Saccharomyces cerevisiae S288C: one gene and its partners. The main gene of each other region encodes a partner of the protein of the gene in region 2 in a complex. Each region holds a gene or a part of one and is shown on either strand. Other genes may lie near its edges. The genes, in order: JNM1, ARP10 and ARP1.

The links.
Region 1: ARP10 (region 2) and JNM1 share a complex: the UniProt entries of both Saccharomyces cerevisiae proteins name them as parts of the dynactin complex.
Region 3: ARP10 (region 2) and ARP1 share a complex: the UniProt entries of both Saccharomyces cerevisiae proteins name them as parts of the dynactin complex.

What each region holds. Positions count from the first base shown.
Region 1 is NC_001145.3:854,974-858,657, forward strand, and holds JNM1 (Jnm1p), read left to right. Parts: upstream 1-1,992; coding exon 1,993-3,114; downstream 3,115-3,684. Other genes in the region: GOT1 (Got1p), read left to right, coding at 1-320; glutamyl-tRNA(Gln) amidotransferase subunit HER2, read right to left, coding at 426-1,820; GSR1 (Gsr1p), read right to left, coding at 3,324-3,684. UniProt on the Saccharomyces cerevisiae protein: Component of the dynactin complex which assists cytoplasmic dynein by increasing its processivity and by regulation of its cargo binding.
Region 2 is NC_001136.10:664,984-668,488, reverse strand, and holds ARP10 (Arp10p), read right to left. Parts: upstream 1,486-3,505; coding exon 631-1,485; downstream 1-630. Other genes in the region: TMS1 (Tms1p), read left to right, coding at 1,719-3,140. UniProt on the Saccharomyces cerevisiae protein: Pointed-end-associated component of the dynactin complex which assists cytoplasmic dynein by increasing its processivity and by regulation of its cargo binding.
Region 3 is NC_001140.6:362,345-366,019, forward strand, and holds ARP1 (actin-related protein 1), read right to left. Parts: upstream 1,810-3,675; coding exon 655-1,809; downstream 1-654. Other genes in the region: FUR1 (uracil phosphoribosyltransferase), read left to right, coding at 1-421; YHR130C (uncharacterized protein), read right to left, coding at 2,621-2,956; YHR131C (uncharacterized protein), read right to left, coding at 2,996-3,675. UniProt on the Saccharomyces cerevisiae protein: Core component of the dynactin complex which assists cytoplasmic dynein by increasing its processivity and by regulation of its cargo binding.

The DNA of each region.
Region 1 (3,684 bases), on a different chromosome or scaffold from region 2:
TATTGGCCTTGGGCAATATTTTGTTTTTAATTGGAGTATTCTTAATAATCGGTTCACAAAAGACATATATTTTTTTTACCAGGCCAAACAAAAGGCGCGGTTCACTATTTTTCCTAGTTGGTGCCTTCTTAATACTGTTGAAATGGACATTTTTGGGCTTTATAATTGAATCTCTAGGTATTATAGGTCTCTTTGGTGATTTTTTTGGCGTCATCGTACAATTTTTGAGATCAATGCCCATAATTGGTCCCATACTTTCTCACCCAGCAATCGCTCCAATAGTAGATAAATTAGCGGGAGTTAGGGTTCTGCCAGTATAATGGTAAAATTTTGTATGTGAATATCATAGATTAATTTTTTCGAACTTTCTATAGGTATAAAGTAAAAATAATAATATTTACATGATTAACGTTGTCCTCACAAATTTATGATATTGACTCGACAAAATCTAACACAGTGGAATCATCACCATATTGACCTACTACCTGTAAGCCAATCGGGGTCTTCTCTTTTAAAGGCATTGATAAACTTGGTAGTCCAGCCAATGACATTGGGACAGTAAAGACATCGTTTATATACGAGTTAGCCGGAGATTTGGCTTCCTCTTCTTCGAAGTCCCTTATGGATCCAGGAAGCTTGGACGATGTGGGAACTATCAGTAGATCTAGGCCGTCTGGATTTCCCTTAGAATTAGTTAAAACATTTGGAAATCTGAAGATCCCGTCAAATTCATCGATCAAATTAACTCGTAGCTTTTCTGCCTTAATAAAATTGTTCTTAAATGCATCTGAACAAAGATTATAATTACCTAGAATGATTCTATTCTTAACTTCTGTTCCGAATTTGGACCTAGTAGGTGCGAATAAAATACCGTCTTTTATATCGAGTTCTGAATCTCTGTATCCATATCTGATACCATCATACCTTGATAAATTGGAAGCCGCTTCAGCGGGTGATAGCGTATAATAAATCGGTAAACAGTTTTTTACAGATGGAATGGATACAGGGTATATTTCAAGCCCTAAATTTATCAGCTTTTCTAGTAAGGATAAATATAATCTGTGGAACCCAATGGGCATACTTTCATGGCTAAATTCCTTTACAATTCCTACCTTTAAAGGTCTCCTAACCTTTTTATTCCCTTCTATCAATTCACGCAATTCCACACTTAAGGAAGTGGGATCTTTCATGTCATATTTATCGAGCGTATGAAATACTTTTCGCAAGACGTTTATCTTTTTGCTAAGTATGCCAACAGTGTCTAAAGATTGAGAATACGCTATTACGCCAAATCTTGACAACCGTCCATAGGACGGCTTGAATCCTAAAACAGATCCATAGCATGCGGGGAGCCTAACGGAGCCACCAGTATCTGTTCCCAAGGCAAAATCGACTAGATCGCAAGCAACGCTTGCAGCGGCTCCAGACGATGAACCTCCCATGATCTTCTTGTCCTCATGAGGATATAAAGGGTTAATTACGGGCCCTCTTATTGAATGTACTCCCCCAGAACCCATTCCAAATTCATCTAAATTTGTCTTGCCTAAGATATGCACTCCTGCCTGTTTTAATAGTTTCACTACTGTTGCATCGAAGGGAGACTTGAAATTCTCAAGTATATGTGAGGCACATGTGGTTGGAAAATCTTTTGTAACTATATTATCCTTGATACTGGCAACGCAACCTGTCAATGTTTCTTTTGTACCTTTTTTATTTGTGATTGAATAAGGAGATGGATTGATACTAGTGAAAATATTATATTTTGATTGAAAACTAGATAATCTTTCGATTGATTCTTTTAAGGAGCGTTTCAGTGGCATTTTTGTATAATCAAAGTTAGGACTCCAATTGAGGGGCCATCTTTCCAGCACAAATAATAGTGTTTACAAGTATAGATGTACTATTACTTTTTTGGGAGCCAATGCATTTCAAAAAAAAAAAGAAGAGCAGATAAGTCATGAGGCTAAGAAAGATAAAGAAATCTACTGGTTGATGAACGTCATAGATTTAAGTGATCCTGCCATCAATGTGGATTATGATAGCTTGATTGGCATTGACAATGAGGAATCTCAAGAAATTTTTGAAAATGAAGTGAAGGAAGATGGACAACAAGAAGAGCAGGAAGAAGCATCTTCAAGAAAAGATGGGCTCATCGTTGAACCAGGGAGAGATGTTGAGAGTTTGAGAAGGGCTATTCGAGATCAGTTGCTTTTCAAGATACATAGACAAAACCAATCAGACTGTGCAGATGCGAGAAAGTTGAGTAACGATGAAGAAGATGAAAGTCGGCAACAGAAATTAGAAAGAATAAGAGAAGAATTGGAGGAGTTGAAAATAGAAAATTTAACATCTGAAATGCAAACTGAAATCAAGGAATTGTGCGAAATTCAATCAAAATTGGCGACGGAATCATCTAGTAGATTGACAAATTTGAGGAAGAAGCTTCTCGAAACATATGAAGGCCAAGATACCGTCATATTGCCAAACATAATTCTTGATACGAGTAATATCAAAAGATTGCAAAAGTTAGATCAGAAAATATCCCTAATGGAACGTTTTGTTGGCATACCAGAAGCTTTGGAGGCAGAAGAAGATAGGAAATCGGTTCATAGTAAAGTCAATGAACTATATAGAAGTATTCAACTTTTACAAGGCGATGATAAGGCGGAAGGAAAGCTGCAAAAGTTCCGGGATAGACTCGTAGAACTGAACGAGGAATTTGAAAACTCATTGTTAGGCAAGAAAATACAACAGGACTTGAGGTTGAAAGATGACACCGTGAGCAAGCTTGTTATGCCCGAAAACAAAGTAAAGGAGATAAATAGTATGTATTCCATGTTCAAGCAATATCAAGATTCACTACCACTGTTGGCGGAGAGGATGAAAAGTCTCAATAAAATGAACAACAGGGTGATCGAGGTGTACGAAACCACGAAAGGGCTGGATTCACAAATAACCAGCATCCAAGAACAAGGAAAAGTTTGGCTAAAGGCTTTAAATGAGCTGGATAAAAAATTCGATGAACAAGAGGTTAAAATTCGCGAAAATATGGAGCAGATCAGGCGTAAAATTGATACCCTCGAAGACGAAGCTCTACAGAGAAATAGCAAATAAAAGGCGGAGAAATAATTTTATAAACCAATTTAATTTCATTCTTCATTTTTTCGTCTCCATATGACAAAAAAATTGAAAATATGTGTGTGTATGTATATATAATAATAGTAATAATAACAATATGAAATATGAAATATCCAAAATAAGAGCGGAAAACAGAAATTATCATAAAAAAGAAAAAAATAAAGTCTCTAAAGGGTATCAAGCGCTTATTTCTTCTTCATTCTACCAAACAATCCCTTCTTCTTCTTCTTTTGCTTTTCCTCAGTCTGTACGTGTTGTTGTGGCTGATACACTGCTTGTTCACCATACATTTGACTGGAAGCACCACCCACTTGCTGTGGCATACCGTTCGCATCGTAAGTCACAGCAGCACCAAACACAGGGAAATCAGGTCTTACGCGGAACCCGTAAGTTGGAGTCTCCAACTGTTGGGCCCAGACCGGGTCTCCGGAGACAGCATACTCGAAACTTCTTATAGTGTCCAAAGGTCTTTCGTCTCTTGCCCTAGTTGGATTCGATATATCTGCCTGTGTGATGGGTTGACCGAAAACATCACACAGAACATGA
Region 2 (3,505 bases):
CAAATTCTTTAGGAGAGTGTGTAATTAGGTGAAATATTAATGGTTAACTTTCTGTTGTATTACGGGCTCGAGTAATACCGGAGTGTCTTGACAATCCTAATATAAACAGTCTTAGGGAAGTAACCAGTTGTCAAAACAGTTTATCAGATTAATTCACGGAATGTTACTTATCTTATATATTATATAAAATATGAATCATACTAAGTGGTGGAAGCGCGGAATCTCGGATCTAAACTAATTGTTCAAGCATTTATACGTTTGGGTAGTTCAGCTAGGGAAGGCCGTGTTTTATCTCATGTTGTTCGTTTTGTTATAAGGTTGTTTCATATGTGTTTTATGAACGTTTAGGATGACGTATTGTCATACTGACATATCTCATTTTGAGATACAACACTTTCGATCCAAATTGGTCTCTTGGCCCAGTTGGTTAAGGCACCGTGCTAATAACGCGGGGATCAGCGGTTCGATCCCGCTAGAGACCATTTTTATTTTTTCTCCTCTATTGTTAAAAATAGCTCTTTACTATCATAAACTTTTACATCAAAAGCTCAATAAGGCTAATTGTTGTGGAAAGACGCAGTTTGGTGAAGAGAACACTTCCTGTTTTTGTTTTCTACATATACATAAAGCCTATTGTAAGCGCTTCACTCCAGTTCTGAAGTAATAATCAAACCAATCAGGAGCAATATGAGGATTGTTATAAAACTCATCTCTTTCTATTCCTACAATGTTGCTCCCCTTATAGTGCAGAAGTATTTTCGCGCATGCAGAACCAGCCTGCCAGTAATTTTTAGGAAACTGGATTTTGGACGTATCCATTTTTAACTTGAATAAATTCCTTATTACTGTTTCATACGCCTCTTCAATGTTTACTATAATGATATTTTCTCTCAGTGGCCTTCTCAAGTCGATAGGAAGTGACTCTACAATATTTTTGACAAGATTTATTACCGGGGTTTCATCTACTTCACAATTTTTAGAGTTGTATTCTTCGTCAAAAAATATTGGCATGTAGAGACTGCCCGGGAGAGGAATTCTTGACTCAACCTGTCTTTTGCCTCGTTTTGAGTATTTTATGAACTGTTGCAAAGGTCTAAGGTCGAAAATAGGTACGCATGTAGTATAATTGGTACCTATATCTATAACTATGGCATTCCTTGTATTACAGGATAAGCAGTGCACAATGGCCCTGGGGACAAACGAAACGTGAGCGCAGTCAAATTCCTTAAACAAGATGCTACAAATAATTCTTTTCTCTACTACAGAAATGAAGATATCTTCTAGTATCAACACTTGTACTTCTCGATTTCCCAAGATGTTGCAAATTTGGAAGTAATGTTCAAATATTTTTTTCAATTCTTCCCTATTTTTTTCATTAATACTACCTGTTTTCCAGGCGATAATTTCTTGTGGACACGCATCAGCACTTCTTCCAATTTCGATTCTGTTAGCTCCCAAATAGACTATCACAATAGTATTCGACATTTCCTCATAGGGTTTCCTGGGTAGATTTTTTTTATCATTTCACAGTGTCGAATATTGTAGTATTTGTACCTCTTTTGTTTATGTCTCTCGGCTACAATAGAAGTTCCGACAATTAGATTCTAACAAAAAAGAGAACTGTTTTTGAGGTCTTTATGCCCCCAAAACGAAGTTTATAATCAAACAACAGATTTACTTCATATCAAAATACCCATCACAAAGTACAACAATCTACCATGGGTGCCGTAATTTCTTTGCCAGTTAGCATGGCGGGCTCATTCGTGGCGTCCTGTTTTGGAGGTTGCTGCTCAAACTTGGTGACTAAGACTGCATCTTCCCTAGGATCTTCTTCTTTAGGGACAAGACTTCTGTACGCCGTTTGGCTTTTACTTAACTCATTGATATCATGGGTGTCCTATTCTGCGAACAAATCAATCCTATGGCCAGGGAAGACATGTACTGGGACTGGGGAATGTGGATTTTTTACAGTTCATAGGTTGAATTTTGCATTGGGATGCTTACATTTGATATTGGCGCTTGTACTAACGGGCGTAAAGTCGACTAATGACGTAAGAGCAGCATTACAGAATTCGTGGTGGAGTTTAAAATTTATACTGTATTTATGTCTCATTGTTTTGTCATTTGTCATCCCCAATGACTTTTATATTTTCTTTTCCAAGTGGGTGTCAGTCCCTAGTGGAGCAATTTTCATCCTGGTTGGGCTTATATTATTAGTAGACTTCGCTCATGAGTGGGCTGAAACGTGTATTAGTCACGTTGAGTCAGAAGATGAAGATTCCTCATTCTGGCAACGATTTTTGGTTTTAGGGACAACTTCAATGTATACCGCATCGATTATCATGACTGTTGTTATGTATGTTATGTTTTGTCATCAACAATGTAACATGAATCAAACAGCGGTAACAGTCAATTTAATATTAACTGTTATAACGCTTGTCTTATCGGTGAATCCTAAGATCCAAGAGGCCAACCCTAAAAGTGGGCTGGCCCAAAGTAGTATGGTTTCTGTTTACTGTACTTATTTGACAATGAGTGCCATGTCTTCCGAACCGGATGACAAAATGTGTAATCCGTTGGTTAGATCTAGTGGAACCCGTAAGTTTAGTATCATTTTGGGCTCTTTATTTACTTTTATTGCGATTGCTTACACCACAACTAGAGCCGCTGCTAATAGTGCTTTTCAAGGCACCAATACTAATGGTGCTATATATCTCGGGAATGATATCGAGTACGAAGGACTAGGTGGACAGACAAGAAATCAGTTGAGGTATGAAGCTATTAAACAAGCTGTAGAAGAAGGATCTTTACCGGAAAGTGCCTTATATGATACCGCTTGGTTAGGGACATCATCTCCTACAGGCGCAATGGATAACCAAAATGATGATGAAAGGACTGGAACCAAGTACAATTACACTCTGTTCCACGTTATATTCTTTCTGGCAACCCAGTGGATTGCAATTTTACTAACAATAAACGTTACCCAGGATGATGTAGGTGATTTTATACCCGTAGGAAGAACATATTTTTATTCTTGGGTAAAAATAGTTAGTGCATGGATATGTTATGCCCTTTACGGTTGGACAGTGGTAGCCCCAGCGATTATGCCCGATAGATTTGATTACGAGAATTACTATTAAATAGACTAACACAAAAAGATTTTCTTATAATGTATGTAACTTTTTTTTAAGTAGCCCCCAGTAGAAACACTAATTTTACTATACTCATGCACTAGTTTCAAGAAGATGAGTAAACCTCCCTCAAAAAAAAATGGATCTTAATTATCTAATTGAGATATCGCTTCTCGAGGATTATTTTAACTATCCTCTATTTATTTGAAATGCCAATTACAGTTATTATCGATCGACCGTTTTCGAAGGATCTCTTTTCTTCTTTTAAAGGTAGAAAACATTCTCTCAACCTTCTTTATGCGATATTCGGAGTTTGCGCCGTGCTTCAAAGATATGGTAAAACAAAATCATTGTGGCTAAAGAAATGTCTGGTG
Region 3 (3,675 bases), on a different chromosome or scaffold from region 2:
AATCTGTGGTGTTTCCATTGTCAGAGCTGGTGAATCGATGGAGCAAGGATTAAGAGACTGTTGTAGGTCTGTGCGTATCGGTAAAATTTTAATTCAAAGGGACGAGGAGACTGCTTTACCAAAGTTATTCTACGAAAAATTACCAGAGGATATATCTGAAAGGTATGTCTTCCTATTAGACCCAATGCTGGCCACCGGTGGTAGTGCTATCATGGCTACAGAAGTCTTGATTAAGAGAGGTGTTAAGCCAGAGAGAATTTACTTCTTAAACCTAATCTGTAGTAAGGAAGGGATTGAAAAATACCATGCCGCCTTCCCAGAGGTCAGAATTGTTACTGGTGCCCTCGACAGAGGTCTAGATGAAAACAAGTATCTAGTTCCAGGGTTGGGTGACTTTGGTGACAGATACTACTGTGTTTAAATAAATCACACCCGAACACCATCTTGAAGGTTCAGAACGGCTGAAGCCGCATATCAACTTTTGGTTTCTACTGTTTTAAATTTCCTTTCTCGTTTTAAACCTTTGTTGCCGTCTCTTCTACTATCAATTTTGTTGTTCATGCATGTTTAATTACCTTTTTTTGTAAAAATAATATAAACGTATCAATGGCTATTTATAACAAATATGCTTGAAAAATCTAACGACTCTGTTTCTTACATTAGGTTCGAATAAACACGGGTACTGTCCTCTAGCCAATCTGACTTTTTGGTCCAAAGTCTTTGAAAGGTAGATAACCCCGTTAAAATAGAACCACCAATCCATGTAGTATATTTTCTTTCTGAAGGGGCTATAATCTTTATCTTGGATGTTCCTTTGGTTAATGCCTCCAAATCCCATAGCATTCGGTCTCCAAAGCCTTTAAGCGTTGTAGTTCCGCCACTTAGGATTATCGATGACAGTAAAGGTTTCCTTAAATCCAGATCGACTTTCCAAATAGATTGCATGCACATATCAGATAATCCATCGTACCCTAAGCCGATGATTTGAGGTGAAAATAATATTTCTGGAGCACGATATCGATCATTCCCCACCTCTATACACCTCCCGTCGGGCAATTTGAATGTCGAGATTAAATCTTGAGTACCTTGTAAGTATTTCTCCTCTTCCTTTTTAATATTCTTGGCCAAATAACAAACTTTCTCTTTCATCGTGCGAACAATCTCTCGTTCACTGCTGGAAAACAACGAAACACCAGCTGATTTCCGTAGTTGAAATTGTAACTGCTCTGTGATATCTGCTCCTCCAATATCCATCCTCATCATAGACGCAGGTAATGCAAAGCCGTCATATATGGGAACAGTGCTACAGTATCCTTCACCACAGTCAACTACACAACCTGTAGTTCTCCCACTAGCATATAATGACAGAACAGCAGGGTTTGAAACGTACAAAGCCGATACGTCAAAGGTCTCGAACAATACTTGAGCCATCTGCTCTCTATTCTTCAAAGGATTCATCGGGGCTTCCGTAATTAATAAAGGATGCTCACCTATATTTTGCAACTGTAGGACTTCATTTAACACATATGACCATATTAGTTCCATAGAATCCCAATCTTCCACCACGCCGTGCTTTATGGGGTATCGTAATTTTAATAATCCACGCAGTTTTTGGGCATTGTTTCCAATAAATGTATCTCCTTGCAGACCTTCGAGCATAACTTTATCATATTTGGTATTTCCTACGAGACAATATTCCAGTGCTTTAGGCCTTTCCTCACCACTAAATCCTGCTTTTATGATCCCAGAACCATTGTCGATCACTACCGGTTGATTGTACAAAGCATAGCTGTCACTTAGCTGGTCCATTGGCTAACTTTCTTTCTAATTCCTCAATTCGTGGTATAGCATTAGCATGTACTCCTTGGTCTATGCCCTTTTATTAATTTGCTGTTTTATTGGGAATATCTGCTATTTGCTTCGCTATTATTCAATAAAGGTGTTTATCATTATTGATGTGCATCGCGAAAATGGCCACTTTGGAAATGAACTTTTTCTTGAAAAGATTAATACAAACGGAAAAAGAGAAGGCAATAGGAAACTCACCGTCACACAGGTGTACTGTGTCCTTTGCTTTGAGCTCTTGTTCAGAACATTATGCTACTTAGCATTCTTTTATGAGCTTTTTTCTGTAGTCTTATTATAGGTTGATGAAAGCGTTACCTTCAAGAAATGATTTTTAACGTGGTATAATAAACACTGTTTATCATGGTAAAACAGGTATTTCTTTTATTCTTTGGAATTACCAGACGATACCCATTCAAAATTCAACTTCTAATCAAACGTTGATCAATAAATACTGTATTATGTTGCTTGTTTGAAATTAGAGGCATTGCCTTTGTTAAATTGAAATATAAACTGGAAAAATGAAGCGAAAATAAAGTACTGTCTATAAACAAAAACCTTAAAATGATTAATGTTAACCTTTCTGAGCAACGAAGCAATCCATACGTATTGAAAGCTTTAGCTCTTGGAGTACGGTGTCGAGAAATCGAAGTAAGACCTAGTAGAAAATCATTAGTTTGTATAGACTAGTCAATGACAAAGTAATAGTTGAAAACAATACTGTCTTAGTTCGCAACCATTTATATATATTTAAACTTATTTTTTACAGCCCTTGCTAATTCCTGATGCCAAGTAACGAGGGGCAAATCATCTGAGTATATACGTACATATACATCAATGATGCCAATCGGAAATGCTTTAACATTTCTGAAGAATTCTTTAAAAGGTTACTATTTTTACTCAATTCGAGAAAATGCAAAATATAATTACCCACTTTTATGTAAACATCGGTGTCAAAATCGTGAAATATACCGAATGATAATGTTGAAAAGAAACTCAAGTGCAAAAGAAAAAACACGATCCAAAGTGTATAGAATGAAATAAAAAAGAAATAGAAAAACTCCTCATCATGTAGCATATATCCGATGATAATATATATACTTTTAGTCATGATATTAATTCTGCAAAAACAAGATTACTGCATCACAGCTTATGCAGTAATCTGTCCATCATCATCGTCATCGTCGTCGTCATCATCATCATCATCATCATCGTCGTCGTCTTCGTCGTCGTCATCATCATCATCATCGTCGTCGTCGTCATCATCATCCTCACCATCATCACCGTCACCGTCGTCCTCCCCATGATCTTCAGCGTCCTTTGTTGTTCCAACAATTGCATTCTTATTTTTACAATTAAGTTCTATCAACGCCGTAGGTCCCACGATGAAGCCTTTTAAAAAATGATTCTTCTGCTTCTGTAAGCTCTGGCGGTTGCTAAAGTGAATTTTATTACTTGTTTCAAAGGTTGGTCCCGAAACTGGAATATAGATAACCTTACCCAAACAGTCGTTACTATCTAGAAATGGTTTGATGCACTTCAGAGAATCCCTCAAATAACGCCTTCTTGAAATTTCCTTAATAGCTGGTTTCCATTTAATATCATCCGTTCCGTAAGGTATATTGGAGAAGCAACTTAGAGTAGAAGATGCTCGCCTTCGATTTCTTATTCGTTCTTCAATTAAACATGAATAATCACTTTCACTGCCATAAGCATAACCAATATTACTGTCATCAGTATCATCATTAGTATCATCGCCAGCATATTCATCGGTTTCACCGTCATTTTCGTCCTCATCGGTCTCAGTAGCGCTTTCATCGTCATTGATTT